3 linked regions of the Oreochromis niloticus genome follow. The protein of the gene in region 2 binds, or shares a complex with, the protein of the main gene of each other region. Links are inferred from orthologs where the notes say so. Each region holds a gene or a part of one and is shown on either strand. Other genes may lie near its edges. The genes, in order: timm23a, timm50 and timm17a.

What was found.
Region 1: timm50 (region 2) and timm23a share a complex: the UniProt entries of both Homo sapiens proteins name them as parts of the TIM23 complex. The link is inferred for Oreochromis niloticus from reciprocal best matches to the Homo sapiens genes TIMM50 and TIMM23.
Region 3: timm50 (region 2) and timm17a share a complex: the UniProt entries of both Homo sapiens proteins name them as parts of the TIM23 complex. The link is inferred for Oreochromis niloticus from reciprocal best matches to the Homo sapiens genes TIMM50 and TIMM17A.

Annotation. Positions count from the first base shown.
Region 1 is NC_031973.2:8,932,823-8,943,393, forward strand, and holds timm23a (mitochondrial import inner membrane translocase subunit Tim23), read left to right. Parts: upstream 1-5,756; 5' UTR 5,757-6,140; coding exon 6,141-6,246; intron 6,247-6,365; coding exon 6,366-6,424; intron 6,425-6,519; coding exon 6,520-6,613; intron 6,614-7,574; coding exon 7,575-7,659; intron 7,660-7,749; coding exon 7,750-7,808; intron 7,809-7,998; coding exon 7,999-8,109; intron 8,110-9,165; coding exon 9,166-9,281; 3' UTR 9,282-10,018; downstream 10,019-10,571. Other genes in the region: zgc:112285 (elastase-1), read right to left, coding at 10,277-10,456, 10,555-10,571. UniProt on the Homo sapiens protein: Essential component of the TIM23 complex, a complex that mediates the translocation of transit peptide-containing proteins across the mitochondrial inner membrane.
Region 2 is NC_031979.2:37,472,727-37,483,072, forward strand, and holds the start of timm50 (mitochondrial import inner membrane translocase subunit TIM50), read left to right. Parts: upstream 1-6,033; 5' UTR 6,034-6,040; coding exon 6,041-6,331; intron 6,332-6,723; exon of another isoform or gene 6,724-8,098; intron 8,099-8,227; coding exon 8,228-8,384; intron 8,385-10,346. UniProt on the Homo sapiens protein: Essential component of the TIM23 complex, a complex that mediates the translocation of transit peptide-containing proteins across the mitochondrial inner membrane. Has some phosphatase activity in vitro; however such activity may not be relevant in vivo.
Region 3 is NC_031970.2:6,726,526-6,737,524, reverse strand, and holds the start of timm17a (mitochondrial import inner membrane translocase subunit Tim17-A), read right to left. Parts: upstream 4,674-10,999; 5' UTR 4,554-4,673; coding exon 4,528-4,553; intron 3,406-4,527; exon of another isoform or gene 3,279-3,405; coding exon of another isoform or gene 3,268-3,278; intron 2,539-3,267; coding exon 2,439-2,538; intron 2,154-2,438; coding exon 2,090-2,153; intron 1,734-2,089; coding exon 1,605-1,733; intron 904-1,604; coding exon 793-903; intron 79-792; coding exon 2-78; 3' UTR 1-1. Other genes in the region: lmod1b (leiomodin-1), read right to left, coding at 9,584-9,610, 9,689-10,999. UniProt on the Homo sapiens protein: Essential component of the TIM23 complex, a complex that mediates the translocation of transit peptide-containing proteins across the mitochondrial inner membrane.

The sequences.
Region 1 (10,571 bases), on a different chromosome or scaffold from region 2:
GCATTATAACATTTATAATTCATTTACAAATGCTCACGTATTGTCATGCTTTCCTTTTAAAAAGGCGGTTCCAGAAATGCATTTGACAGGTCAGATACTGCACAGCGCGTACCGTCAAAAATGTCTCTTATTTCCTCTTGGTAACACATAAAATGCCAACGTGGAGCTTTTTAAAAAAAACTTCTTTCATTATAAAGCGACAGGTGCTCGATGGGGAAAAAGAACAAACTGGAATCCAAAATGCCAAAGTATCTCTGAGTGTTTCCTAATAGGTAACGTGTCTTTATACTGAGACGACACATACAGGACGAATGCCAAGCCTGTGCAGTATGAATACACACATAAAGGGGAGGGAAGGTTGCACTCCTTTTGTCAAATTCTCGAGGACTTACACAACGATGCCTTTTTTTTCTCCACACTACAGTATTCAGCGAGCTTGAACAACAGTGCCTTTATTTATTGAGAGCGATGGAACAATGTTACACCTAAATCTTTTACTATGGCATCATGGCTTTGTGCCCAGCTTGGTATTATATCATCTACATTTTTACGACTTTACATCCACGGCTCTTCTCAATTCAAATTACGGTGCCAAGAGAATAAATAAAAATAATAAAAGGTGGATCATTTGAATTGGAAGTGCAACGCAGTATCGAAGCTACATCTGAAATGTTTATGCGAGGTTCGGACGCCTCCGTAGAACAGTGTTACATTTTATGTCTGTGTTTTATTGTTTCTTTCGGGTGATTGTGTTGCTGGAGATGAAGTCGTCCTTATGTCTCTGCATGTGTTTTTTTTTTTTTCGAGGGTGTGGTACGGTTTTACAAACACAAAAACACACACACGCACACACACACAAGCCAAGTGATGCCTTGATATAAGAGAAAACATGCATTCGTAACATCTGTAACAAGTTTATAATGTATTTTTATATCCTATTTTGTACGTGAAAATAACATTAAATGACCTTTTCAGATGAGAACATTATGCCTTATTATGGAGAATAATTTGATAACTATCACTATCCTTCATGTGTCATAAGTAATCATGTCACAATGTCCTGATAAACTGGAGTCTCTGATGTTCTCTGTATTAACTTGAGCCTCCTTTGCTTGCCTTCTGTGCCTTTTTGTATACTATGAGTGTGACAATTAACAGTGTAGTACAACATTAATCTACTCTTCAGTGCCAAGTGTAGGTTACTAACTGTTACCACTTCTGTGATTATTAACCTCTTTAATGGTATCTGTCTCTGCCTTTAAAAAAAAAATACATGTGTGTCTAAAAAGAATTAAAATGAAAAAAGGAAGATACGTGTTGAACGATGATCTTTTAACTTTTAAAGTATTCTGAGCAGGAATAACTCTTTGTAAATGATTAAACTCATAGTTGTAAAACTAACAAACTTTGTTGCTTTTTCTCTGTAGCACTTAATTATGCAAATCGGCTTCCTTTCCGCATACTAATCACCAAACACTCCTCAGATTCACAAGGGGTGGGGAAAAAACCCAAGCTGATACTTAAAGACAAAAAGCAGGGAAAAGGGCCAAAACATGTTTTTCCCACTTCTCCTTTTTTTCTTCTTCCTGTGTTCTGGCTCTCTGTCTTCCTCTGTTATTTAAGTGGACATTGCACACATTGATGTGTGTAATAAGAGAGAAGAAAACACCCAGCTCACCATGGTTTCTCACAGGCATGCACATGTATAACAGAAAAAAAATAAAAGTGGGGGGGGGGGGGGGCGTGGGTTTCAGGTTTGGAGGACGAGATGGCTGGGGAATTGAAGGGAAATTGATTGTGCAAGCTCGCCCTTAAACATCTGCAGAGTAAATATTCCACATGATCACGGTCCGTCCCTGAAGCCCCAGAAAACCACAGCTAATAACCCACATGCTGTGTGTCATGGTAGCTATTGCTTGTTTTCATTTAAACAGAGAAATTCGAGCCTGTCGACACCTGTAGTTTAAAAAGTTCTTTTTAAAACTGCAGATTTAAAGTTTCTCACACGCAAAAAAAAAAAAGCAAAAAAAAAAGAATCACATGAGGGTTTTTTCTGTGGTGAATGAACCCGTGGGTGGCTCATTCGCCCTCTCCCTGCCCTTCCTGCTTTCATTGTGGAGTCGGGGGGGGGGGGGTTGATATTGAACTTCAGGCTTGGAGTTGAGCCTGCACTGTGGAGGCAACCCCACTGATCACAGAGAGAGAGAGGGGACATAATGTGACCACTGCTGACAATCCTCTGGACAGGAAGAAGCAGAGTGGAAGCACTGAGTGGACATAGCAAGAGAGAAAAAAGAGAAGAGAGAATGTGTGTGTGTGGATAGAGATGGGTGGGGGTGCGTGCATGTCTGGATGGGTGTGTACCCTTGTCTTCATTTTTCCTGTTTTCACTTGAGTTTTTGTGCTTTTTTTTCATTCTTGTTCTCTGGTATGAAACACTCTTTAAGCATCTGGTAATGTATTCTGCAGTCAGCGCTCCCCATTGCCAACACTGGGGCCCAGGGCTCCCAGAGCTTACAATCAAAGTGTGTTAGTGTGTGCATGTGTGTGTGGGAGAAAATGAGCAAAAAGTGAGAAGGAAAGACAGGTTGATTTACATTGCTATGTATGCACAGCATTCTCCACATAATGAACAGCCCCTGATTTCCTCTGCTTGGTAAATATTTGATGACTGAGCGGTGGAATGATTTTAGCTGAAATTCAGAGGACTCCTACAAGCTGCTTAAAAGTTGTATTTCAAATCCCTCTCTCTCTTTCTCTCTTGTCCTCTTCCCATGTAAATAAGGCCAACTCCCCCTAACTCCACACACCCTTCTGAGGCAGTTTAAAGACCCAACACTGTCTCCTTGTATCCTTGGCAACCAGCATACACTGGGGTCCTGTCGTGGCCTCTCTGTCTTTTGTGTTTGGGAGCTCAGAGAGACAGAAAGAAAGAGAGAGAGGGAGAGTAAGAAGAGAGGAGAGGAAGGAGACGAAAACAAGACTTACTGAAAAAGACAACAAAGATGACATCACCGCTATTTTATCCCACAACTGAAAATTTGGTTTGTAGCCCAACGGTGATGAGAATGATGATTATGATGATGAGTAGCCAGAGGCACAAAATGGGTAGCAGCTCAATCTGAGAGAGAGAGAGGGGGGGGGAGGAGAGAGAGAGGGGCCCAGGGCTGAATGGGGCATTGTGGGAAAGACAGTGGGCACACTGGGCAGTAACACAGAGAACACTAACTCACAGATCATGCCAGAGAGTCTGAAAACACCCACACTGGGCGACAATGGCAAACTTCATCGCTCCACTTGGCCCCCTCTGAATACACACATACAATGGCAGAATCCAAATAAGATGCTCTGTTATTCGTGAAATTCAACACACTACATTCCTTCAGTGCCTCCATCCCTTTGGACAGCAGCAGATGGCCTGGTCCGAGCTGCACTGAACGTGCACGTCATGTGTTGCATCACAGGTAGGGCACCCAGCTGGCCTGAAAGGTGTGACAGGTGTCACGTGGAAGTTGTTTTACCTCCCCGGCTCTGCTTCCCTGCTTCAAGTAAATGCAAATGGCGTCATGCAAATTTAACTTGTATGTGCCACCACTGGGAACAAATTTAACTTAATCAGTTAATTAAATCAAGCCTAATTAGAGCGAGGACCGAGAAGGACCAGAACCAGCAGGTTTGACCCTCTGCAACTGGTTTCATCTATACGGTGGGCTCTCTGCTGCCACCCTGTGTCGAATGTGAGGAATTGCACCTCTTACTCGAGAAATATTTGCAATAAACCGAACAGGTAAGGAGATAAAAGACAGGAAAATAAAAAACCCACAGCATGCGTCAGCAGGAGAGCTGAATTCGTTATCTGACTGAATGACTAGTTCCAAGAAAGGTACGACAATGAGTCTTGATGGGGATTTTTTTTTTTTCACAATTTCACAAACTTCTGATAGAAGGATTAGATTAGAAATAAAATAAGTAAAAGTTGCAGTAACGCCACAGAGATCTATGAGAATTAAATAATGATTAATAATCATGGGGTTATCTGTTGTACTAATTTGTTTTATTGCACCATATGTCAAACATCTGAAATTCATCTGCTTCATCTGGATGTTATCAGTCCACTCAATGGATGTGAGTCTCAGACAATGAGGCCTACTGATTGGATTTTTAAGACGTTTCAGTTTTTATACCCATTAAATAAAATGAAGTGTGTAGTGAGTATTTTGTACATAAAATAATTGTTGGTATATTTGTAATTAAAGTATTTTTGAAGCTGACAATAGAAAAATCATGAGGTCAAACTTGTTTTCAAGTGCAAGAACAATATTGTAAATTTACCAGTTTATACTGTATAATCATTATTACCAGGAGAAGCAGAATTTTAAAACAGATTGTTCCTCTTTCTCTTTTTTATTATGTTTTACCATTATCGACATTTTCATATAATTACTTTTACTTACATGGAATATATTCTTGTACCACCAATGCAATTTCTATCTTAAAAACATTCTATATCTGCTTTTATTATGCAAGGAATCGTGAGGCTGCAGAACAATATGGATTTATCCCAGCCAATCAGCAAAGATCAGGCTATGTGACAGATAATGACATTATTGCATGCAATCAATCAACAGTGACCTGGGGCATTTCACACCTCTGCGTTCTTTCAGGAAATTGGGTTTTTCTACCCCTACCTACTCTCACACCCGCGGTCATAACATTGAAACTAACAGCGGTAAGTTGTTCTATTTTTTGTGGCATAAAAAAGGTAGCACCATATTTGATCACAGGCCCTGTTCACCTGAAACTAGTGCAAGTAATGGTAAGAACATTTTTTGACATACACTGGATGGATCTGTGAACCGTACTTATTTCGTATTACAGACATTTTCAGGCTATAATAATTAAATATGAGTAATTTTATGGGTTTTTTTGCTTTGTTTTTGTTTTTGTTTTGTTTTGTTTTTTTACCTTTTAGCAGTTTTTATTATACTTAAATTGCATACATTGGTGTTTATTTTCCCTGTTAGTCTTATTACTGCTAAAAACGATATAGTAATTCAATATTTGTGATTTATTTTGATTTTGATTTCATTACAAATCAAGTCAATATTTTATCATTTTGTTTTTGGTAGATCTTTTTTTTCTTTTTTCTTTTTGCAGTGGTCTACTTGGCTCTTGTATGGAAGCTTACCCATTCAGTACTATGCAAGAGAATAACATAACATATTTGGGTTTATACAAAACTGTGTGAATGAACTTACATTAACTTAAATCTTTGAAGAAATGTATAAATAATTTGCCAAATTATCTTACTTGAGATTACAACAGCTTCACCAAGTACCATGAAGCAGGTGGCTGTGACTGGTGATATGCAGGTTTGTGTGTAAATATATAGCATAATAACCACATTGTCTTATTGGATACTACTACCTTACAGTAGTTTCACAAAGTATCATAAAGCCTGTCACTGGTACATGTAATATTCTGATTCATCAGAATATTACATATATTATTATATTATATGATCTCTATAGGGTTGAAATTCTGAATTTCCATACCCTATAAAGGGTTAAATGGATCTCGTGTCCACAGTTACCCTGCAGTCAGTTTTTTTACGCTCTGCCTGGTCCTCAAGTTTGCCCTTTAGTTAAGTCAACAGATCCCAGATCCGTTGAACTGTCGTAAAACCGTGGTTTTATTAACGATATCAGAAAGATTTTTTAGTCGACTTATCACTAATAGATAAGCAATAGTACGAACTTTTGGTGTTAAAAACAAGTCTGAGCCGATGTTTTCTCTCATTTTTCACAAGTTACTGTGGGTTTTGTTGACGTAACGACAGTGCAGCACCGGTCATCGCTTTACGGCGGAGCGTGCTGCTGGAGGTCAGAGGCATGACGATAACGCGAGATTGGTAATATCGAAGCAAAAAGACGTAATTTTCGCTCTAAAAATCCAGCAAGACCAACAAATACGACCTGTGTTGACGTTTCCTTCTGGCAGTAGTGAATTCAGGAGCTCGTCTGATATACGTTTGTCTAATAGCTTGAGGGTTTCGACATATCTTGCTAACGTTAGCCAGTCGGCTACTGTAGCAACTCCCCTTCAGCCTCCTGTTTGACTCTCGGAACATTTATCCAAGCATGGATAACAACTCACAAGGATCGGGGGGAGTTAAAGCAGGCCTGGGGAGTCTTTTTGGAGGGGGTGCACCTCAATACTCCAACACAGAGCTTGCAGGTGTCCCACGTAAGTGTCATGCAATCTAACTGTGATGCTAGTTACTATTACATTACTTAGGTGTTGCTGTACTGTCATTCAGTATCTGAAAAATCAACTCAGTGGATAATTGATCGTTTACATTACAGTGACTGGAATGAGCCCTTTGTCCCCTTATCTCAACGTGGACCCACGTTATCTGGTTCAGGTAAAGCTGAGTCTGTCTCCTTTTCTTTGCTGTGAGTGAGAATGTTTTGGATTTTTTTTTTTTCCAGGCATGAGTATTTGAATCTTGTGTTTTAGGACACAGATGAATTCATCTTACCTACAGGGGCCAATAAGACAAGAGGAAGATTTGAATTGGCTTTCTTTACCATCGGAGGCTCCTGCATGACTGGTAAGAAACTGGTACACTGACAAAACGGGTTTAGTGCTGAATATGACTTGGAAGCATGTGCAAATTAAAGTACTGTATAGTACAGACTAAGTAGAAGTATGTTGATGTCCTTGTTTTGTCTGTCCAATTCATCTACATTTTTTCCTGTTGAGAGCGACAGCTGTGGTCAGAAGATTACATAAAGGTGGAATGATTGCACTGCATACATCTTTAATGAAAAACAAGATTGAATTTATTTTTGACAGAGTCTAAATTACACATAGAGGCTCAAATATAATATACCAACTATTATTTGGTTAGCAAGTTCCACCTTGATCAGATGCTTTTGGTTTCCGTCAATAAGCTTCTGGCATAACTGTGGCTGGACATTTGATGACACTTCTTGGCAGAAATGATAGTTTATTTGTTGTTTCCCGCATGGACCTGGCTTTTAAGCAGAGTCTGTAACTTTGGAACATATTCATGTTCCATTCACGGATATGTTCATATGGGTAACTGCAAATTTAAGTCGAGCTTGAAGGTTTTTGGAGCAGGGGATCTTTCATGGTTGGCACTTTCTCAGCCCATGGTAATGTAAAACTGGCTTTTACATTGAATTTGACTTATGGACAGTGAGGCTGGTGTTTTGGTTTCCAGTTCATGGTAGGCTTGAGCCTTGGTGGTTCCTAGGTTGCTCCTGAACGTGCTAACCAATTTCCTGTCATAAGGGTGACAGTTTTGGTCATCTTCCAAACCTTATGTTCAGCTATGTTTAAAAAAAACAAAAACCAAAAACACAAGAGACAGACATAAAGTGTGGGTATAGAAACACAAATGCAACAAGAACACACACACAGTTAATGGCATATAAATCTGTCAATGTTATTTATTAAAACCAAAGCATGATGCAGGTGGAATAGTGTGAAATAATCCTTTGACTGACCCTTTGTTGACCTTTTCTGCATCCTTGTTTGAAATGCAGGGGCGACATTTGGGGCATTAAATGGCCTTAGAATGGGTTTGAAGGAGACCAGAGACATGGCATGGTCCAAACCACGTAACGTACAGTAAGTTTGGTTACAGAATTCAGTTTATCGAATGGTTTTACGCTTGGATTTGGGTTGCACGTTGTTCAAATGTTTATCTTCCCTCCCCAGGATTCTCAACATGGTGACAAGGCAGGGCGCTTCATGGGCCAACACTCTGGGCTCTATTGGTAAAGCTTTATTGTTACTTAAAAAAATGATGTAGAGGTGTTACTGTAACAAGAATATCTATGAATCCCATGGTTGGAAGATCTTAGTGTTACTGATTTAAATGGATGGATGTATTTACAGGATTTTTAGTTTTCTAATTCAGTATATAATCATAATTTAATTATTTTGTTTTTCTTTATGTCACTGCAGCCTTGCTGTATAGTGCTTTTGGTGTTGTGATAGAGAAAGCCAGAGGAGCAGAAGACGACATCAACACAGTGGCTGCTGGGACATTAACGGGGATGCTCTTTAAATCTGGCGGTTGGTGTCTTTTCCTTTTTTCTGCTTCTACTTTATATCTGGCATTAATGTATATTAATGTACCTCTGTGTGTTTTTAACCTTTTAAATATTAGTTTTTACCAATAAATGATCCAAACATTAGTTTTAGCAAATATCAGGCTGTCAGCAAGCAAAATGGCATTTACCAATGTTGGTGTTCATCAGTTATTTGTCATTTATTTTGCTCTGCAGTTTGATAAAGACTGAAAATTTCTTTGGTTCTTGTTTACAAAATGGGTGACAACATAAACAAAGTAAACACAAACATGTATGGAAATGCTCAGTTTTTTAGTTAAGCCTTGCCAGTACAGACTTGGACCCCAAGTCTGTACTGGCAAGCTGCCTTAATTGTTGCCTTAATTGTTCATGGCATCGATTCAGCAACGTGCTGGAGATTTTGGTCCACACTGACATGATAGCATCACAAAGTTGCTGTGCATTTGTCAGCTGCGCTTCCATGATGACTCACCACTTAGGTGGTCTGTTGGATTGAGATCTGGTGACTGTTGCCATTCAGCTGGCAGATTAGACAGTTGCGTTAACAAGCAGGTGAGCAGGTGTACTAAATAAAAGGGCCAGTGGCTGTTTTAAGTTGTCAGTTAGCAGACTTTTAAAATCCTATTAAAATGATAGTTTGTTCAAAAGAATGAGTTAAATGTGACACATACAGTGTTCATATTCTCTTATTCGAAAAGCTATTAGCAGGGATTCTTTTATATTAAATCAAGGCTAAATTTTGAACCATATGTCGTAATCATTAATACTGCACTGACTTATTCATCTTATGCTGTATAAATGTTGTGTGGGCATGTCGTGACTTACAAAGGGCAGTACAGTGAATGCGCAGGCACTGAGATTATCTTTGGAAAGCACCTAAACTTTGTGTTATTAATTTACTCCATGCTGTTTGAAGTATTAGGTTTATCTTTGCCCACCTGGTACTTTGGCTAAGCTGAAGCAATTATTGTTTACTGTAATTAAAATGATTATTGTGATGCATGTTAAGCTGTATGACTCACTCTGTTTGTTTTCTCAGGTGGATTAAAGGGCGTAGCTCGTGGAGGTCTGGTTGGTTTAGCCTTGTCTGGTGCCTACGCTCTCTACAACAACTGGGACCATCTCACCGGCTCTCCTTCATCGAGGCTGTACTAAACTCCCCCACACAGCTGCTTCAACATTAGGGCCAAATATTTTGAGGACGCAGCCTTTAACCACAGCGCTAAAAGGCATTAGACTCTGGTCAAATGCTTTTTCTTTTTTTTTCTTTTTTTCCATTTTTGTTTAGTTTTTTGGGGGTTTTTCATGGTGCGAATTGGTCGCAGTTCACTGGTTTCCCATCATAGCTGTTTTCCAGGAGCATTCTGGGAACTATGAGATGTGTCTTGGAAAGGTTTTGGACTGAATTAAAAGGAAATCCAGACGTAGACCGTCCAGTGACAGTTCTCCTTTCATTTATGTTGATTCTCTGAGGTGTTCCTGTCACTGATCTGATCAGTAATGAGAGCACTCTGTGAGGATGCGGTATAAAAATATACTTTTTGCGATGATTGTTAATGGAACACATGTTATTACGCTAGATTTTAAATACCCATGATATTTGGGTTCAGTGAGTCAATTTGTAAGATAACCTCCAACATCTGTCGTGTTGTTTAGCCCTTGGATAACAACACATTCATGTTCTGATTCATGTTGGACTGAAAGACTCTTCTGTAATAGAAAAACAGCTCAGACCTGCAGTCAGAGGGAAGCCTTGGGGTTAGTTTACTCTTCTATTTATTGAAACATATTGGTTTCTGGTCCACTGTGGAAGAAGAAATCACTGTAAACTGTACCTTGAAGTGCATGCTGTTAATATGTGTCCATCAAACCCACTGTATTATAGATTAAAATAAAATAAAGAAAACAAAACTAAGGAGGTGTTCAGAGATTTTGCTTTTAACCAATTTTATTGCATAAATGAGATTGGATGTAAAAGGTGGTGAGCAGTGTGTACTATGCAGTGCTTCACCAGAGTATAAGTATATACTGTAAGAAGATGACAACACATTCAGAACATGTATTAACATCATGGAGTGGAAGGAACTGGCTGTGAGACTGTCTGTAGACGTCGGACATTTAATGGCAGAGCTTATGTTTGCTGCGAGCGCTCAGTGCAGGAAGAAGTCCCTGATGCGCGTTGCCTCGATCCAGGGGATGTAGGCGACGGTGCGGGTGAAGACGCTGGGTTTGTTCTCCACAGTGCAACCGATGGGGCCGAAACTCACCACGCCGTGCACCTCCCAGCGGTCCCGGTCCAGCTGGCACAGCAAAGGACCGCCAGAGTCACCCTGAGGAAGGAGGATGGAGGAAGGTGTTGGAAGACGAGGTGAGAATTGAATCTGGTGGATGAAATTTGACTTCAGGATAGTTAAAAGTGTAGTCCTACCTGGCATGCAGCTGGTG
Region 2 (10,346 bases):
CCGGACACTACTTCAGTTTTCTGCCCTTTACTGTCAGTATCAGCATAATTTTTGCCCTTCCTTCATTGATTTTGTGAGTAAATAGTTTCTTCTTGCAATACGGTTTGTTTTCCTACAATTTCTTGCAATTCCTTACCATCCTAGCTTTAAGGTTTAACGGATATGGAGAGGGGTGTTAGGGGCTTATTTCGCTCAAGGCTGATAATGTGGACAAGATAGAAAATAACACATTTTGAGGGGTTTTTTTCTTGAGAATGACTTCCTAGTAAGACTTATTGACGACACCTTATTTGTGATACTATAGTATCACCTAAACTTTATCAGGAATGAGGAAACCATGTTTGGCTCCACTCACAAAACTGAGGCAACTAAAAACTAAATATGATCCTAAAATTGTTCACCTGTTAAAATATGTTCATTATCTGTAAAACCAACTGAGAGTGTTCAGTCTTGATGTGAAACAGAAAAGAGGAAATTTAAGCTTTTCCTCCTTTTAGGTTTTTTAAGCACTTCATCTGAACATGAGCAGAATTGATCATTTTCAATTCTGAAAGGAAATACACTGAAAATGGAAAGTAAATTATAATGGGTTAGGCTGTCTTTACCAGTAGAGTTCAGTTGTTTAGTACCAGTTTGATGGGGCATCTTGTTCAGTACTTGGGTTAGTACTACTCAAAATAATCAATTTATTTTAAATACTATGTACTCACATTAAATAAGTTGCACTAAATTAGTCATCTTAACCCTTTCAAGTGTAGTGGTCACTACAGTGGACAGCTATGTCCACATGTGTTTTGTTGTTATAGTTGCAACACAGCGGACGCTTATGCATCATCTCATACATTGTGAAATACTCTGTGAAAAGTTTGGGTGTCATCCTCGACAGTACTCTTTCAATTCACACATTAATAATGTCACTCGGTCTGCATATTTTCAATTGTGCAACATTAATCGTCTCTGTCCTTTTCTCACCTCACATGCCACTGCCATTCTTGTCCACAGCCTTGTTACTTCCCGGATTGATTATTGTAATTCACTTCTTTTTGGTCTTACTCAAAAATCCATCCACAAGCTTCAACGCATCCAGAATTCTGCTGCCCGTATCATCACCAGGACCCCTTCTGTCCACCACATCACTCCTGTGATGGCTTATCCCACATAACCTCTCCATTCGACTATTTTAAATTTGTTTATGTCTTATGCTTTTATGATTGTATAAACTCCTTGCTTTTATCTGGCTTTTTACTCTACTGTGTACAGTGACTTTGAGTGTTTTGAAAGACGCTTTCAAATAAAATAATAAAATGTATTATTATTATTATTATTATTATTATTATTATTATTATTGTGTGATCAGTGAACTGTGGTACATTCTGAGATGTGATTTTCACCCAGGTGTCATCCACATCCCTGAACCAATGACTTGCTGGTGTTCCAGGGTAGGATAGCAAAGCCCTCTTTTCCACTTCTTCCATGTACAAATTGGCCACAGTGGGTGAAACTGGGGAACCCATGGCACACCCGTGTTTCTGCCTGTAGTACTGACCCTTGTATGTGAAACAGGTGGAATGAAGACACAGTTCCAAAAGCAAACACACCTGGTCAATGCTGAGAGTGGTCCTGTTGTTGAGGTTGGGGTCATCCTGTAATCTCTTAAGAACTAACTACTTTGTAAGAGATTACAGGATGACCCCAACCTCAGCACCCTGAATTCAGACATACTTTGTTTTTCATGTGCATGTGCCATCATGGCCTCTCTTTGCACTTTTTGTAAGACCATGTATAGCAATGGTTAACTGATGTTAGCATCATTTGATTTGTGCTCTGAAAGCTTTGTTATATTTTTGTGATGTTTACTGTTTATGCTTTTGCTTCCTTGCAAGTAAAATAAACACGTTGAAACTTGTTACTCGGTGTGTCTCACGAGAATTTTTCTAACATTTTGTTCCTTCAAGCCGAATTTCAACATCTCTCCCGTTTATCTCTGCCAACGCTGACCGATACCGTGCACGGGGGAGTCTGGGTCTCTGGGTCTGATATAAGACCTCTGCCTGTCCCTCGTAAAGTGCCATGTGAAAGTGAGGCCGGGCAGCGGGAAAAGACACCAGAGAGAGAGGGAAATGTTCTGGGACCATCATAAAACCTGTACAGGTAAGTTAAAACCTCTATTTACGGGTCAGGTTTTGTCCAGGGAGTGATGTTTGTCAAAGAGCAATTTGCCAAAAAATGAATATCTGTGTTTAAACTACTGTAAATGACGTGTTGGCCTAGAATATGTGAAACATATGTCAAATGTATTCTCATGAATGATATCAACTCATCTTGAGCTACACATACAGCTCAGCACACAAGGTAGAAGCCACAATCAGTTTTTGGCAAAGTGACTCTTATCTATCCTTTATTTATTTGTCAGTGGACCGACACATCAAATTCACCAGGGAGGATATGAAAAGTGGCAGGTTAGCTTTCTTAGACTGTGAGATTTCCAGTCTGACGTGTACCGTAAACCTACACATACGGATCAGTATCTAAGGTTTGACTCTCATCATCCACTGGAGCACAAACTGGGTGTCATCAGGACGCTACAACACAGAGCGAACACCATCCCCACTGACACAGCAGCCAGGGAAGCAGAAGATGATCACATCAAGAAGGCCCTGAGTAAATGTGGTTATCCCAGCTGGACTTTTGTCAAAGCTGGGAAGGCACCTAAAGAAAACTCCAGCTGATCCAGGAGAGAAGGACAACCGCTGCCTAAGAGAAAACCCATAGTGATCCCGTATGTGTCAGGAGTATCGGAACAGTGGTTTTTAAACCCCAAAACACGCTGCGCCAAAAACTGGTCCACCCCAAGGATCGGGTCCCCCGACACAAACAGAGTAACATAGTGTACGCTGTTAAGTGCCAGGAGGATTGCCAGGATTTATACATCGGGGAAACCAAACAACCTCTGGCAGAGCAGATGGCACAACACAGCAGAGCTACCTCGTCAAGCCAGGACTCTGCAGTCTATTTACACCTACAGGCCAGTGGACACTCTTTCAACGATGAGGATGTACACATCCTGGACAGGGAGGAACGCTGGTTTGAGGGCGGAGTCAAAGAGGCATCTCTGAATCGAGGAGGCGGCCTAAGGGTACATTTCATTTCATTTCATTTCTTTATTTATTTCACACATGGTTCAACAGTGTTTCTTTTCCTACATACAAAACCTCCTTCCCATTAATATAACTCTGCACCCATGGGTGAAAAGGAGCAGGAAGAAGAATAAATTCTTGTTAGCACCTGCCCCCTATCTGCAATCCAAATACTCTTACAAGAGGGCGCCAATACCCCCCAAAAAACCCTCTAACATGTATCTTTATGTAACAATGCAAAACTAAACAACAAATCAATATAATCAGCAATATACAGCATTAAATGGCAATGAAAAATTTTCTTCCACATTTAGCCCTAATTACTTTCATGTTCTTCATATTGATTTATCCTTTTAAGTATGTAACACATTTTAAAACGGTGCATGTTTGTACAACTCTTGAGATTATCTTCGAGAGAATTCCATATTCTTATACCTTTGACTGTCGGACACATTTGCCTTTGTGTGGTCTTAGCAAACTGATGCTTAAAGTCAAACTTCCTTCTACTGTCCCCACTTCCTGAACACAATACAAACAAACTTTGTAACTTAAGAGGTAATGTGTTATCTGTCACCATCTTACAATGCTGTGATTGCAGCCATTTCCCAACTCTCTGTGAATGGTACATATTGCATATTAACGATCATGGAGCTGACCTCACAGCCCAAGTATTGAAGATGTGTGTGTGTGCTACTAAACTCATACCTGCGAAATTAGAACTGATATTTCTCATGCAGTGGTGGCTGGGAATTTCCCACAAGGACATGGACTCAGCTCATGTAAAATAAGGGAGGAGCAAACTTATAAAAGCTTCCATGACAGCCTTCTTTCTAAATCATTAGTCTGAGTGCACCGTGTACTGTCCAATCTGTATCCTCTATAAAAAGAAAAAAAAATGTCCTCTGGGAAAAGCTTTACTGTCAATAAGGTTTTGGCATAACTCTTTGACAGTGAAAGAGACATAAAGGAAAATGTATCAGAAACAGAGGATTGTGTTGAGGAGGACCCTGATTTTGAAGAATTCTCATTTGATGAGAATGAGAGTGTTGACCCTCCGGCTGGCTCTCACCCACCAGCAGAAGCAATCCCTTCCAAAAATGGAACGATAATTTGGTCCCTTTTCCAACTCCAACAACAGGGTAGACTTAGTGCTGCTATTGTTATCAAAATGTATCCAGACCTCACCAGATACGCAGTGAACCATGTTGAGGACATCAAGTCATTATTTGAGCTCTTCATGACACAGTCAACTGAAAATGCTGTACTTCAGATGACAAATTTAGAGGGGACGCATGTGTACAGGGACAGTTGGAAAGACTTGGATGTAACTGACTTGAAAGGCTACATTGGCTTGTTTGGCAGGAGTTTACAAGTCAAAAGGTGAAGCAACAGCAAGCCTTTGTAATGCTGAGACTGAAAGGGCAATATTTCCAGCCGCCATGTCTCTCAGGACCTTCCACGTTTTGTCCTGTGTCATACATGACAGGGAAACAAGGCAGGGCCGATGAGATCATGACAAACTTGCAGCAAAAAAGTACGTGTGGAACAAGTGGGCACAGCATTTACCCCTGCTGTACAATCCAGCCCCACATCCGACTGTTGATGAGTGCTTGGTTGCGCTTCGTAGCTGCTGTCCATATCGGCAATATATGCTGAGAAAACCTGCCAAATATGTGTTGTGTGTTCTTTTTTTCTCGCAGAAAGAGAGCTCAGGTCCAGTTAAAGTTAAACAGATTTATTGCTGTTGAAATAATAATTCATTGGAAAACCACAGTCTGCATCGGTTTTCTGTAGCCAACTCACGGAAAATAGATGGCCCTAACTTAACGGTACCCATATTTATAAAAGAGAATATGCGTCTACCTGATTGGTCAAAAACCGTTGAGAAGGGGCCATGGTTTAGCCTTAGCCCCCCTTATTGACGGCCTGGTTGTGCTCTGTTCTGCTCCCTCAGCTGCAACTTCACCTAGGGATGGACACACACACACACACACACACACACACACACACACACACACACACACACACACACACACACACACACACACACCTGTTACCCAGTTTCATGCATCTGAGGCAGCATCTATCTCGAGGGCTTTTGTTTCTTGACCTTGCTCTGGTTCACTCCTGCATTCTTGCACACAGCCTTCCATCATGTCTGCACAAACAACCCTCAATAATAATAACTTTTGTACTAGTTTGAGTGCTCAGTAAGTAACTATTTAAAGTGATCTACAGTCCCCATATCATTTGCCAGCACAGGTCTTGTAAACCAAACTTTTCGAATGCTCACATGTGGCATCAAAATATGTGCAGCATGTAATGCACAGTCCAGCTTTGCCTGGAATATGCACGTTTACACAGGTAAATCCCCTGGTGAAGCACCTGATTAGAAACATAATTAGAAAAATATTGGATGAAAGATTTTGAAGATGTGCTAAATCTAAAATTAAAAGTTTGACCTGATGGTGGCGCTATAGAAAAGGTCATGTCATCAACAAAAACCAATAGGGTTCATCCACTTGTGGTCATTAATGTTGACAGTAATTTTGAAAATATTTGAATGCAAACTTTTCAAGATACATTTATTCTAAATTAAAATTCTGGCCCGATGGTGGCGCTAGAGTTTCATTATCAAGGGGCTATTTATGTATTCAATAAATAAACAAAGTGCCTGACACAAACACTTCCTCATCAGTTATATGCAAACCATTTTCTGGAGGCAAATATCTCTTGGGGGTAAAACGTGTTAGTAATATTTGAGGAGAATATGAGGGTTAATGTCGCAATCGAAGGTCAGACTCACTCTTTCTTCTGATTGGTGTCAACCCTACAAAGCCCTCCCTCCTAGCGCCCCACGTGGCTTTCCACTCCTCTGATTGGGACGTCTGCCTGCCCCTCACATGGCCTCGGCCAATCGGGTGCTTTTGTCCTTCTTACTCGCGTCATTTGCGTTAGCTCTAGTGCTACTTTCCAACATGTCGGCTGTGTGTGTGCTCCCCATGTGTTTACGGGCGAGCCGGGGCCTCCTTCGGCTCAGGAGCGCGGCGGCGGGTGCCTCCGCCCCAGCCATGGTGGACGTCATCCGGACATTGTCCACGGACAAGCCGCCGGCCGCAGCGGGGAGTGCGACGGGCGGGTTAGCTCAGGCGATCCTCCAGGAGAGACTCCAGCAGCAGCAGCAGCCGACACAGGTGCGCTTCATTTTACAACCTTAACAGCACTCAGTGGCGTCGGCGGGGGCAACTGTACTAAGTAGTAGGTCCGACCGTGAAACCCCTCCCTCACGAGCCGCCTTGGTGATGTAAATCAACTCATGAACGAACATTTCCAACCTTAGCTCAGACTGACAGCTAGCTTACATAAAGTTCTTTTCCTGACCCACGCGGGTCCAGACGGACTAAACTGTGTGTTTTGTGGGGTTTGTCGCGACACACGTGATCTTCACAAATGTGACGTTATGACGGCACCACCCCACGCGGGCTCAGCTGTCTGCTGAATGAATGAACCCGGCATTAACTAGCTAGCCAGCATGCTAATGTTAGCATGCGTTTATCTAGAGTCTGGCTGTAGCAGCACAGCTTACCTGAGTCTGGCTCACGTGAGTGTCCTCACAGTGTGTGTACATCTGAGCATAGGTGTGACAGTGAGCGTGCAGCTGGCACTGCTGTGGTTACCTGCCCTTCACCTGCAGGTGTGTGTGTTTGTAGGGGCACAGCTTGATTTTATCTGCGGGATAAATCGCGTTAGCAGCCGAGGTTTGTTTCGCTCTGAAGGTCAGAACAGACCCCCACCCTCCTCCTCCATGTGCAGCGCAGATGTGGTGTCTGGTCACGGAGGAAGCCACCCACCACGTGACTCCTAACCGTGTGTTTCCCACAGACTCCAAACATAAAACTGTGACATCTACAGACGAACTGTAAAAAGGATTTTAGTCAAAGACTGAGTAATTGCCACTACACTTCTTCCCAGCAGCGGATGCAGGAAGTTCTGAAATCTGTTAAAATCCATGAATTTAATTGGACACGAAGGAAATCAACAGCCTTCCATTAGACCATTTTGGTTTCTGTCAGTCTGTATAACATTTAAAAATGCACACATTCACACATCCATGCCTGCGTGTGTGAATGCTGCTGAGGAACACAAATGAATGAAATGTTAAGGTTGACAATCTTTGCTGACGTATGTTGAATAAAATAACACTGATGAGTGGAAACTGAATCGACTCTTTAACTGCTGGATTCCAAATCAAATTGTCCCATAAGTTTTCAGTTAGTTTGGCATGCTCCTGATGAGATGATGGACGGTGTTTTAGGGGTGATCTCCTCCCAGACATGGACCAGTGCATCTGTGCGTGCTGCAGTCTGCAGTTCTGTTTTTCAGCATCAGGTGCATGAACCTCCCAGAGGTTCTCCTTGGGTTCAAGTCTGGGGACCATGAGTGTCATCATCTTTCAGAAACTCACTACACACCCCGGCTACACGAGGGCCTACTGCAGCAGCATCAGACCTGAGACTGGGTTTGAAGACTTTATCCAGCTAAACCAGTCATGCTGGATGAGCCTGAAGGTATCGTAACGTTCACCGCTGCGTCTCCAGACTCTCACCTGTCTCCTGTGCTCAGTGTGAACCTGCTCTCATCCACCAGAGCTGGACTGTTGGTTGTGGTGTCCTCTGCTGCACTGTGCTGTGAGCCCGGGCCCTGCTACATGCGGTCTGATTCTGACAATCTGCTCAGAAACATGCCAGAGGAGCATGATGAAGGCTGCTATGTAGCAGTCATGCAGCGCTCCTCTAATGCCCTGCACAGCTCTCCTCGTCTCCTCCACGCTCTGTCGACTGTGCCAGCACACACACCAAACCGCCTCCTGTCAGTTTATCTTGTTTCTGTAAATTCTCTTTTTGGGAATAAAGTTGTTGGGTTTTTGTTTTTTTTACAACACAAGGAAAAACATTTCCTTGTGTTAAACTGACTGAAGCTGACGTCTCTAACGCTCTCCTCTCAGTTCAGACTGAAGGTGAGCGCATCAGTGCAGCACTTTTCATTAATGTTAGTTCAGAGTTAAACAGAAATGCTTGTTTTTGTTTCAGGGTCAGCCTCCTCCAGAGGGAGGGGAGGGCGAGAGGGAGGGAGAGAAGGCCGAGGACAGGAAGCAGAAGGAGAACACGGCCTACGCCAAGAAGATGGTGCTGCGGTTGGCGGGATTCATGGGAGTCGGCGCCGCGGTTGCCATCGTTTATATATTCGGTGAGTCTTTAAGCTTCGTCCTGTGCACTCAGATGGAGAGTCTTTGCTGCCTCTCCTGACAGCGTCCTCACTTAGGGTCAGTTTCAGCCGGTTTGCTTCACAGGTGGAAACACAGTCACTGTCAGCCAATCAGCTTGCTCAGTAGCAGGTCGCTATGTTCAAATCTGGTTCGACCTCTTTCTGTAGGAGTGATGTGACAAAAGGAGCTGAAAATAAATTTTAGTAGACACAAAGCTGTTTCTACCTGGTTTCTATCCAGAAACTTGACAAACATTAAAGAGCTGCAGAGTTTTAATGTTTTAGATCAGGGTTGGGAAACTCCAGGCCTCGAGGGCCGGTGTCCTGCAGGTTTTAGATATCAGCATGGGTCATCTAAACCCTGTTCATTACAAGGCCTCTGGAGAACTTCACGACATGTTGAGGAGGTAATTTAACCATTTGAATCAGCTGTGTTGGATCAAGGACACATCAGATTGATCCTGTCAAACCTCCCATGAGAAAGAAAAGCAGATCAGTCAGAGGACAAACTGAGAAATTCTTGAGAAGGTTTAAGGAGCGTTTTTTTAAACTAATAGTTGACAGAGTCTAGTGTGGTGTGGCATTTTTAACAGAGAAGAGGGTTTTTATTGTTTCCTTCATGCGAGTGTGCTGTAAGGATACAGGGGTTATGTATGCAGGGCAGCTCTGTATTTTTCTTTTTAGATTTTAATGATGGTTTTGTTGGAATAAATGCGCCACAGCTACCCTGGGGGTCAGTAATATTAAACTCCTGGAAAGATCACAGTGGGCTTTTTGGCCGGGCACTTTTATACCCCTGTTTGAAAACATGAACCCAGCACGTGGTTGTTGGTCATGGATGAAAGATGGATCAGATGTTTGGTTCTGCTGCTGGGTTTAAACATGTCAGTTTAAGGCACTTCAAACGGCCTCCAGGAGATGCAGCAGGAGGTCTTTATTCTTTGAACCATCTTCAAAAGCCACAAAAAAACAAAAGAGCAGGTATAATCTGTATGTCAGGCTGCGCTGAGGCTCTGAACTTCCTCTTCCTGTGATGGAAAGGTGGGTGTGATTGGTCACACTCAGCTCCCTGATTGCAGGGACAGATGGGTGGAGCTAGCAGCCTGTCCTTCAGAGGAGAGTCAGACTGAGGATGGTGAAGAGCATCGTTGACAGTAGGGCTGCCACGATTAGTCGACTAGTCACGATTACGTCGACGATTTCTAATTTAATAGTCGACGCGTCGTTTGAAGCTTTGTAAGATCGCAAAAGACGCAGGAATAAGTAGTAGGATTTAAGAGTGTAATAACGGACTGAAACAGAAGATGGCAGCACTGCATGCACAAGGATGCCAGCTGCCGTTAAACCCCGAAGAAGAAGAAACTGTCCCAGAATTCATAGCGCGACCCATCGCGGCCCTGCTCAGTTTCCAACAATGGCGGCAGCTAGTTAGTTTTAATGTTACTCTTATTATTCTTTCTGGGTCACAAAATAAACGATTAACATGTTTTCAGGCAAGAATGTAGCTGTGTAAACTTAAAATAACTGCTTGGTTTATCAAGACACATCATATTTTCAAAAGTGCTCCGACGTTTTCTGAGATGTCTGTTACCCACCAGCTCGCTAGCTAGCGGGGGTTGAAGGCTCACTAGAGCCGGTGAGAACACCGGACTCTGGGCAAATCGTTTTCAAACCCACCGCCGTCTTTCACTACTCAGGTGAAGCATGGTAAATGGCCTGTATTTATATAGCGCTTTTCTAGTCCCTAAGGACCCCAAAGCGCTTTACACATCCAGTCATCCACACATTCACACACTGGTGATGGCAGCTACATTGTAGCCACAGCTGCCCTGGGGCGCACTGACAGAGGCGAGGCTGCCGGACACTGGCGCCACCGGGCCCTCTGACCACCACCAGTAGGCAACAGGTGAAGTGTCTTGCCCAAGGACACAACGACCGAGACTG
Region 3 (10,999 bases), on a different chromosome or scaffold from region 2:
CTCACTGATATTGTCTGTAGTCTCCAAAGGGAGAGGTGGGCATGGGAGCAGGGGCAGGTTCCTCTGCAAACTGGGGTCCTAAAGAGGAAAAAAACTCAGAGTGAGATCAGAGCCAAAAGTCTAAAAGAGCAAACTGATGAATCAAAAAGACTTCCCAAAGGTCCTCACTGACATATGACGACTGGGTGTTTTTTTCCAATTATTCAAAAACAGTCACAAATTAAAATAGTCAGTTTCTTCAGAAAGCTGACTCAGTCTTCAAATATTCGCATTTTGCCATAACTGTAGTATCATCACTGATAAACACTGTTTCAGAATAAGTTTTAAAGATGATCAAATTCAATATGATGATCAAGTTCTGTTTTGTCCCACAATACAAACACAAGCAGTAAAATTTTGAACATTTGCAGAAAAATCAGATGAGATTTATCACACATATTAGACCTGATGTTTATAATCCATGCTACTGTGTGCATGGTGACTGGATACTGTTTTCGGCAAAGCATGTGAGCAAGCTGGGGGTTGACTAACACTCCTAAAGTACAGTCAACAAAGATAAACATATCAGGCGCTGGGCAACAAGAGCTGAAGTCGCAGTACATTCAGTGTTTTTTTTCTTTGCCGCAGTCATGTCATCTTTCATCTAAGTATTCTTTCACGCCTGATGGCTTCTGGTGCTTAGGTAGACTTTTATGTACAGTAATTTATCACAATGGGTCCTCGTTACAGAAAACACTCTTCAGTCTCTTTCATTGAGTTTAATAAAAAAAAAATCACCTAAGTATAACTCACCAGTTGGAAACTGTGAAGAGGCAAACCTAGTAAGCAGGATTCCAGCGCCCTCTATCAATGCCAGCAGGATACCTCCCATGGCGGCAGAGCCAAACATGGCTACCGGTCCATCTATGGACAAACCAAAAGCATTAATTGACTAAAATCACATAAAACATTCATTTCTGCACTTAAAAGGTAAATTCAACAAGACTGAGATGATACTGTTTGTTAGAAAATGTTCCCACCGTCAATTTTTGTATCAGTTTTAATCCACTATTTTTGGATACAACTTATTATAATCCATTTCAATAAAAGGTATATAGCACAAGTGTTTTCATGCTACTTTCCGCTGCTCGCCATTCCTGACGCAACTCCACTGGAAATGGGAATCTTTTGCTTGTCGGGCGAATGTGTAAACCACTTCTGTCCATTCAATCTTTTGTTAAAGTTGTTCAGAATTACATGAGGACCCCACAGTCCCTGTACAAATATCTTCAAGTTTTTCTGCTCCAGTAAAGTAAGCAAAATGACCAGAAAGTGATGCAAAAACTAATCTATAAAGAGAAGTAGACCAAAATGAAAATATGCAGACCAGTTACAAGAATCAACAACTCCATTTCCTCATACTGACTGCAGGAAAGTCTAAACTGGATTTACTGGACCAGCTGTTGCAGGTTTTGTTTCTTTTTTAAGAACCTCCCACAAGAAGCCACTGAAGTAAAAAGCCTGAAAATCTCACACCCAGGAGGGGTTGTAATAAATGTGGACATGCATGTGAAAGCACATTTGCTGTTTGTATGAGGTATGCAAGTTTTCTGTTGGCTACTCACTTCTTGCAGCAAGAATAGCTCCTGTCATGGCCCCACTTGTTATTGAGTTCCATGGATCCTCCTTCCCTCGCACTTTTACTAAACCGCAGTCAATCATGGAGAAGAGGCCTCCCCATACTGCGAAGCTACCTGCAACACGCCAAAGAAAAGATTTGCATCAGCTGAAGTTATCAGTGAAGATACGCTTGTCACTTTGTTAAGCAATCACCCACGTCACATATTTACACAAGTGACTTCTACCACTAACACACTTCAACAGCAAATAAAGTATTAAAAATTCTGTACACAGATTATGCCTTCGGGCTCCAATAGCAGCTTATTTAATTAAAGGATAATTACTTTAATATACGGAGCTGAAATATTTCCCAAGATTAACTTGTCACCATCGGAACTGCAGACGATGTACAACATGCTGCTGACTACAGCCCATGCTCTTTACAAAGGAAGAGAAATGACCTTTGAAACAGTTCGGCAATTGTTCTTACCCCCGAGCTGTGGGGCTCTGGTCTTGATAGCAGTTAAGCTACCCCTCATTCTGTGGCTCATCCCCTACATAAAAAAGAGAGACAAAAAACATGCATCAGTGGAAATTCACTGTCAGGTCAGGATTTCTGAGACCAAAGATTTAGAATTTTCAGATTATGATTGATAACATAAGTTGAAAAGAAAATGGTGCGTCTTCGAAATTCAGGTTGGGTTAAAAAGAAAATTTCCTGTTTACAGGGACAGAAACACTGCTTCATCATCAAGTGTTTTTGAGTGTGACACCGACCCCAAGGACAGTACCTTGAATGTCAGCTTTGACTGAGACCAGAAAACAGTCCTTGAACTTACCGAGGGTGCATTTCTGAAGCCTTTCACTGCCTGAAATATTCCTCCTCCAATAGCTCCCATGGTGAAAGCTCCCCCACAGTCATCCACAATCCTCCAGGGGCTAAAAGCAGAACACAGACATTTTAGTTTGCTTAAGTTAATAATGTCATGACATTTGAGATCTCTCATTGCATGTTCATAACAATCTCTTAATGTTCCCTGTAAGTCTAAATTAATCCAAAGGTAAAGGAAGAAGAACTAGTTTATTACTGGTAATATGACAATAAGATATAGGTCATCTGAATATCAACATTCGTAAAATCTAACTATACACACACAGACTTGGCCTTTGAGAGGGAGACCGATGTAACAGTGAAGCTGTGAAGAGTAGTCAGATGAGTTTAAATACATCCAAAAGCAACCAACAGTGCACAAGAGAAGTGAAGAAGAGATTCGGCAGGGCGGTGGTGATGGAGACTAGTGTCAGGGCTGATTTATGACAGCAAGAGTGAAAGGGAAGGTTTACAAAAGAATAGTAGTGAGACCTGCCGAGATGTATGATGTGCAGACAGTGGCACTAACAAAAAGACAGGAGGCTGAGATGAAGATGTTAAGATTGGCAGTGAACTAAGAGACAATGGACAGGATTAGAAATGAGTATTATAGCGAAAGCTCAGTTTAAACAGAAACTAAGTTTGAGAGGCAAGGCTGAGATGGTCTGAACATGTGCTGTGGACGGTTAGTGTGTACATACATACATACATTATATATGTGTACACACACACACACACATTTGACCAAAAAAAAAAAAAAAAAAAAAAAAAAAAAAAAAGAGATGCTGAATACAGACCTGCCAGACATGAGCAAAAGCGGAAGCCCTCAGAGGGGCAACGTAGTGGAGGAGGGCATGCAGAGGGTTGGTGTGACAGAAAACGATGCTAGGGATAGGGCGAGATGGAGGCAGACGAAGAAAAACACAGACACGCACACAAACACACAGGGTCACTCTCTGTGTCCTATTTTAATGACAACCTCTGACCCAGTGTAAAACATGAAGCATTACGTTTCAACACAAGGTCTGAGCAGTGAGGATTATACTTCACATGACCGCATCTCAAATTTAAACAAACACACTGCACGTTTACTTTTCACACACGACTTTATTAGAACAGGTTTACATAGTTAGATGGTTGCATTCTATGTAATATGACTTCTGGTCAAAATCAGGAAAATGTAATCGTTTATGTATGTAAAACTGGATTCTCCATTTTAGTCATAGCCATTCGTTTATGTTAAACAGATGCATTACATCTTAAATCACGAAAAGAACATTTTGCAGTGATACTGAAGGACAGTAACCTTGTGTCCCGTGTTTTTGACCATTAGTATCCGATCTTAAATTGTTATTCAAAGCTGGCCAAAATAATAAAAACATAAGTGGGAGAAAAACAGCGAACCAGGCCAACCTTTAACTTTTAAAAAGTTTATTTAGTTCACGGTTGTTATAAATTAAACCTAAACCAAAATAAGCATACACGAGGGCAGCCACCGGGAAAAAGTGTATGTAATTGTAAAAACATTTATTTTAAATCCTCAGTGACGTTGTTAAAAGTTCATAAACTATTTGAACAGGACATGTCTCAAGCTAGCTGGCGTCATAAGGCTGCAGTCTAGATAGCGCACAAGTAGCTAATCCAGCTAGCTTACTTGTGCGCCAAAGCAAAATAATACTAAAACAACTACTCCAACTTTTCCCGAATGGCTACCAGTATGCGTTTACAATAGATGTTATATGCCTTTTTTAAGCACCGGTTTGTGGGGTCAGTAAATTTAAAGCAATGACATGTGGCAATAAAACCGACAAGGTCACAACGTGACTTAGCCGTCCCGACGCAGTGCTCGCTCAAACTACCTTCACTTGTGTATGCGAAGTTAGCATTTCTGCTAACGACAGCTAGCCGGCCGGTTTCGAGGTGTTTCGGTCGTGTCACGTGATATAAAATAAAAAACATTAAACACAACTAACATGGCATGTATTCAAAACGCAGCCCACTGCAGTACACGCTGAAACAGTGCGGAAAACGGGATTAATTTTAATTTTAGGACTCACCATGGCTCTCTGGCATACTCCTCCATTTTGTTCTTTGCTGTTCCGCCTGACGTAACGATTATCAAACACCTGACGTAACGACACTATAGAGACAACGTCATGTCTTAAAGGAACAGAGCATGCAGGGGTGAAGGACGAGCTTCAGGCTGCCGTCCTGAGAGTTTATTAAAGTTATTACAGCCTATTTCGTAAAGCTATCCATAGAAATACCAAAAAATCTTGTAAAGAATGGTGTAAAGTAAAAAAGCAGAACTGTTCAATCACTATAGACTTATATTATACTTGAGTATTTTTAATTCGATGCTGTTTTCTCTTTTTTAACTGATATTGAAGCATCTAGATATTTATTTTGTCTGTTTATTTTGTTTTTATTTTGTCTATATCTTTCTTTCTATTCTATTCTGAATCAGCTTTTACTTAAGTAAAATTTGCTTAAGCCGCTTCAGATCAACTCTGCTGAGAATCATTAAAGCGATGACTGGGACTTCCAGTCAATCAATCAGTCAATTAAAACAGATTATTATGGATTTTAAAATCTTATTTGGTTTTCATATGTACCTATTTTCAGTGATATCAACTTTGATAGCAGGAAATGAACTAGGCATATAATTCTTTTCTTTCTCTCTTTTTTGCTATATTTTTCAAGTAACCTGTATTTGACAACAGTATAATAAAACTCAAAATTCAGTTTTTTTGTGTGCCACGCCAATGTTTTTAGTCCCCCCTGCCCCCATTGGCCAGCTTTTTAATTATCAAATAAGGGATACTCTGGCTTACCAGAAGCAAAGTGCACAACCAACTGGGTATAGTGTAAATATGCACTGTATGTGACATTGCAGGTAACGGTCTATATACGTGACATTTAAAGTGGAATAAGGGACAAACTAATTTTGCTTATTATACAGGATGTCCCGACTAAAACGGGACAGATGGCAACCCTACCCCCATATGGTCACCCCTATGAAAAAAATCTGTAGACGCCCCTGAAAACAGGTTCCTCAAAGGCAGGCAGATGTAACTAAAAACATAGCTTTTATTAAAGGTTGTTGCTGAAATCCAGAAATGCAAAAGTCAATGAGAAGACGCAAACTGAATCTAACAGCAGACAGGGAAAACATACAACATGACCATGGAATTCAAAATGCAAAGTTCAATGGAGTCAGGACTAGTTATACACATGGAAGGTAATCAGGGGAATCAGAAACATGAGTGTAATGAGACACTGTCCAACCAAATCAAGAAACAGGAAGTTAAACTAATTGCAAGAGACGAGATACAAAAGACTACCAAAATAAAAGAGGAATGAATAACTGAAATACTGAGTCAACCTAAGAACGCACTGAAGGGACTAAATAACTCAGTGGATACAGACTGTGATACTTAAACATAACAGGAACAGAAAGTGCAGCATAACAACACAAAACCTACACAATTAGAAACAATAAACCAGAGCACATAAAAATAAAAATAAACCCCACCTGGCTGCTGCCATCATTAATGGTGTAATAATTCACAGTTTGTTGTGAACAATTCAGTGGGGTATGAATCTTATTATAGATGTATTAAGCAATCCTTTGTAAGCAACACAAAATAAAGCTGTAAAATAATAAAAGGCAAAGATGGCACATTGTACTTGAGATGTTTGCTGATTCACATCGATAAGCAACATGAAGCAAATTAAAGGACAGCCAGACATGTATATGAGAGTTTTGACATTTCTATCAACAGAAGCAACGTCACACTGATCGCATAAAGCCTTATTTACAGCAACAAAGCTTAAAAAACAGGTAGAAAAACAATAGAACACCCCGTAATAAAATCTTTTTTTTTTTACATGTTCTGCAACACAAATAGAAATCTTCATAGCAAAATAACCACACTCTGCTGTGCTCCTAGTGTTTTCTTAGTAATAGCAATGCAATGTACTTAGAGGCCTTCTGATGGCACTGAAAACCAGTAATCTCAACATTTCATTCCTTCTCCTCTTTTTCTTCCTTCTGAGACTATTGGTCAGAGTAGCAGCTACAGCTAAAAGACAGAAGGCTGGCTCGCTGCCCATTATTAGGAACGAGAAAGGAATGACTTACAGAGCAAGCCCTCATTGAGAAATGACCAAATATAGGCATTTTGTGGATGCAGAGACTGAGGCAAGGCTGCAGAGAGATAAACTGGCCTGCTGCTGCTGCTCTCTTTTTTCTCTGGATGATGGCTACCTTTCCAGCTGGTGGGTGGACACTAGACAGCTCCCAATGTTTCCACGTAGCTTTAAACACATTATGTAAAGAGCAACAGATAGAAGAAAAGTTCTTCGTGGTCCACTGCAGAAGCACAGATATACATGCTACGAAAACATCCGCTAGTTGATATAATGTTTTTTGTCTGGTAAAGGTTCTGCCTTGTAGTTTTTTTTAAATTAATCCATCAAGAAATGCAGATACATAATAAATTTAAAAAATCTGAATCCATGGTTATTTCAGTAGTTAAACTATGAGACACGAGAGGCCTCCTGCTTTCCTGGAAAGGTATTTTTTAGCATATGGACACCGCAAGTTTCCACCTTACCCTAAGTAAGTTATTGGACCCCAGCTAGCCACAAAAATCATAGTGATGTCGTAAAATCCTGATGTGAGTACAAGCCATTGCATTTTTGAATGTATATACAGCTGTGGTCAGAAGCTTCCATACACTCATCATAGGCATGAATGTGATGACCATTTGGGGCTCATAAGGATTTCTTCGAGCTGCTCCTTTTCCAGGGTGGAAGCATCGTACAGCATACGTCTTTATTTACTTTAAAATGCAAGAATTGTGTTTGAATTTATTTGTAATTTTTTCTAATCCACACAGGGTCAAAATTATACACACAGGCCAAAAACAGACACAGACTAAAACCTTTTAATAAGTGCTGCTGAAGGTTTTAAAGTGTCTTTTAACTCGACAAGGCCGAGGTCTATTTGCTTCTTGCCAATGATCATGAGAGATTACGATTGGTAGTTCCTCTTTGTCTCCATAAAAAGCATCTGTTTGACAGCAACCACTGAATTCCCCAATACTCTGAATAATGGGAAAGTCCAACGAACTCAATGAAGTTCAGGAGAATTGTAGATTTATACAAGTTGGGAACGTTTCATGGAACCATTTCTAAACATGCCATCACCATTGACTGAGAGGGTCCCTGATCCAAAATCTACACCTTAAACCACAACTGAAATTTGCTGCTGACCCCATGGACAAACCAAATGCCTTCTGGAGAAAAGTTTTATGGTCAGACAAGACAAAGATTGAACTATTGTGGTACACTGACGAGAGTTATATTTTAAAGAGTAGAGGTGACCCTTTCAAACCAAAGACATCTGTACCAACTGTGAAGCATGGTGGCAGTGGTACTGGTACATTGCACAAAGTGGATGGACAAATGAAGAAGGAGGACTATCTCCAATTTCCTGAATTTCACCTCAAATTAGGAGCCAAAAAGCTGAAACTTGGACAAAGTAGGTTCTTTTAACAAGGCAATACTTCTAAACAGACAGAAAAACAAATAAAAGGCCAAACCTCAATCCTTTTGAAAATTGTGGGCAATGTTTAAAAGGCAGGTCTGTGCCAGGAAACCAACCAATTTAAATAAAATCTACCAATTCTACCAGTATTAGTCAAATATCCAGCTGGAAGCTTGCTGATGACTACCAAATGTGTTAAGGGACATTTAACCAAGTATTATTGAGGTATAAGTATATATTTGAGGCTCTATGTATAATTTTGACCCCGTGCAGACTTTGGAAAAATTAAAACTTGTGTACCCAGTTCTTATTTTTCAAAGAAATTAAAGCTGTGTGCTGTACAATCATTGCAATATGGATAAAGAACAGTTCGAAGAAATCATTAAAAGCCTGAAACATGCCCATGATCAGTGATGTAAACGTCTGAGCACATCTATATTCATACAAATATAATCATATGCACATATATATAGAATTAATGACATTATCATATACATAATTTGATTTATTGTAGCTAAAAATTATAATATAATAACAGATTATTAAAACATTCCAATCACTTCTATCAGGCAGGTATCATTAAACTTGCAAACATAGCAGAATCTTTTATTGAAAACATACAGGCTCTGTAAGAAAAACGTGTAATAATGTATGTGCTTCATTACAACACTCGGGTTTTTGCTAATCACATTAAATTTCCTTTAGAACTGATATTCACTTTTAAATAGCACATTAACCAACAGTAGTGTTGATTTAATGGTGTTTCTGACATTTTGATGTAAAACCCAGGCTAGAATGATTCTGCACAAAACACAACATCAGACGCTGAAACTTATCTTCCTGCACTTCCTGATAAAATGCATGATGTAATTATTTCCGTGCTAAGACTCATTCGTTATGTCCCAGGACTCCACTGGGCTGCTTTCCAAACCTGCCTGAGATGTCTTGAGATTTGAGACACACAATCAAAGACCACCTTGACCTTTTTGTTTTCTCCACCCACCCAGATTTTCTTAAGTCAGGCCGCCATGTTTGTTAATTCCCTGATATTCCCAGTTTGACTTACAGATTTACAGCTAATAAGGTGGATTCCCTCTCCACAAATAAATAACTTTTCAAATTAATCTCAATTACATACTTTTGAGTATTAGTTTTATAGAGTTGTTTGAATCTCTTATTAAGCTCATCACACACTCCCCCACACATTCAGATGCATATACACGCCAACATGTTATATGATCGGCCTCATATTATCTAGTGCAAATAACCAGCCAAGCGTCAGTATGAATGGAAGACAAACAGCCTCAAACCCATGGCACTCTCTGCAGAGAGCCCTTCATCACTCATTCTCCACAGAGTCTTTTTGGTCCAGTGTTGTTGGGAGAACTCATAGTGAGGGCTGTTCGTCCAATCGTCTCATGTTTCACTGTCTTCATCTGCCCCACTGCACTTTAACCAGCCAGGGGAATTTATAAAGTTTATCCCCTAGAAACCCTCTGGTGAGATGTCTGTTCTCCCTCGCTCTTCTTCTTCTTCACTTTATATTCCAGCAGGAAATATCACTGCAGCCACTTTGGCACCGGCACCTGTGAGAAAAATAAAACATTAGTGAATCCAAACACAGCATCGGTGAGCTAACCTCTTCGTCAACCCTTCTGATGTACCTTCTTCAGCTGTTTTATATTGGTTCCTCTGATAGAGGCAAGCAGTTGGTCCCTTGAGTTCTTCGTACCACCTGGGCGGTTTGCATCCACCATAGGAGGTGGAGGAGGTGGTGGTCCACCCCCAGGAGGAGGCGGAGGTGGTGGTGGAGCCGGACCTCCAGCTCCTTTTCTTGGAGTGAGCTTTGGCGAAGGCACAGGTGAAGGGATGGGTGAAGGTTTAGGCGAAGCTTTGGGAGAACTCCTCAGAGATCCTCCACCTCCGCTCTTGGGCACCTCAAGTGTTCCCTTCTTCTCCCCATTGGCCTGGGCCTGCTTCTGCTCCTGCAGGCGCTTCTGCCTCTGCCTGTCCATGTTCCGACTCAGTATGTTTGTCGTGGTCATTCTGGGTCCTGCTAACTCAAAGTGATAGCCCAGCTTGAGCAGGGTGGTGTTGTCTTTCAGGATCTTGACCATCTCCATCTCGGTCTTCCCTCCGCAGATGTGCCGCTGGTTCTGAAAGCGCAGCTCGGTCAGCGTGGAGTTGTGCTGCAGCGCCTGGATGAGAGACAGGATGCCCTTCCCGGTGAGATGGTTGGAGTCGAGGTTGATGCTGGTGATAGTCTTGTTGCTGCGGATCGTGCCGGCAATGGCATAAGCGACATGGTCGTCCGCACGGCAGTTAGCGAGAGCGAACGTCTTGACGTGGGTGTTGTTGTGCAAAGCTTCTGCGAACTCGATGAGCGTTTTCGTCTTGATGACCTCTGAGTTGTTGACGTTGAGCTCAGTGAGGGAGGGGTCGTTGCTTCGCACCTGCTGCATGAGCTCATCAAACATGCTCGAGTCTTCGTCTTCCTCCTCTGCCTCCTTCGCCTTGCTGTTAGGGCTGTTTTTGGAAGCACAGTTAGCAAGTTTCCCACTATCCTCAGCTTTCTTAACCTTACCGTCCTCTCTTTGCGCCTTCTCCTCTGGTTTCCGCTCAGCATTAAACTTCTCTTTCACGTGGTCACTGTGGTTAACCAACTCTTCTCTGTCTGTTCTTTTCTCCATCTTGTCACGTTTCACCTCGTCTTTCTCAGAAGGTTGTCGTTCGAGTTTGACATCAGGTTTGTTTTTGTCTTCAGATTTCTTCTCCTCTGCTTTAGCCTTCTTCTCTTCAGGTTTACACTCTTGAAGCTGGCTCTCTGATGCCTTGCTCTGCTTCTCCACCATTTTAGAGACAAGCCCGTGTGTCTTGATACTGTCCGTTTTTCTCTCCTTTTCCTTGCCCACATCTTTCTCGCTTTTTTCTCGTAGCTTTGAGATAATGTCTTTGGTTTTGCTGTCATCTCGTCT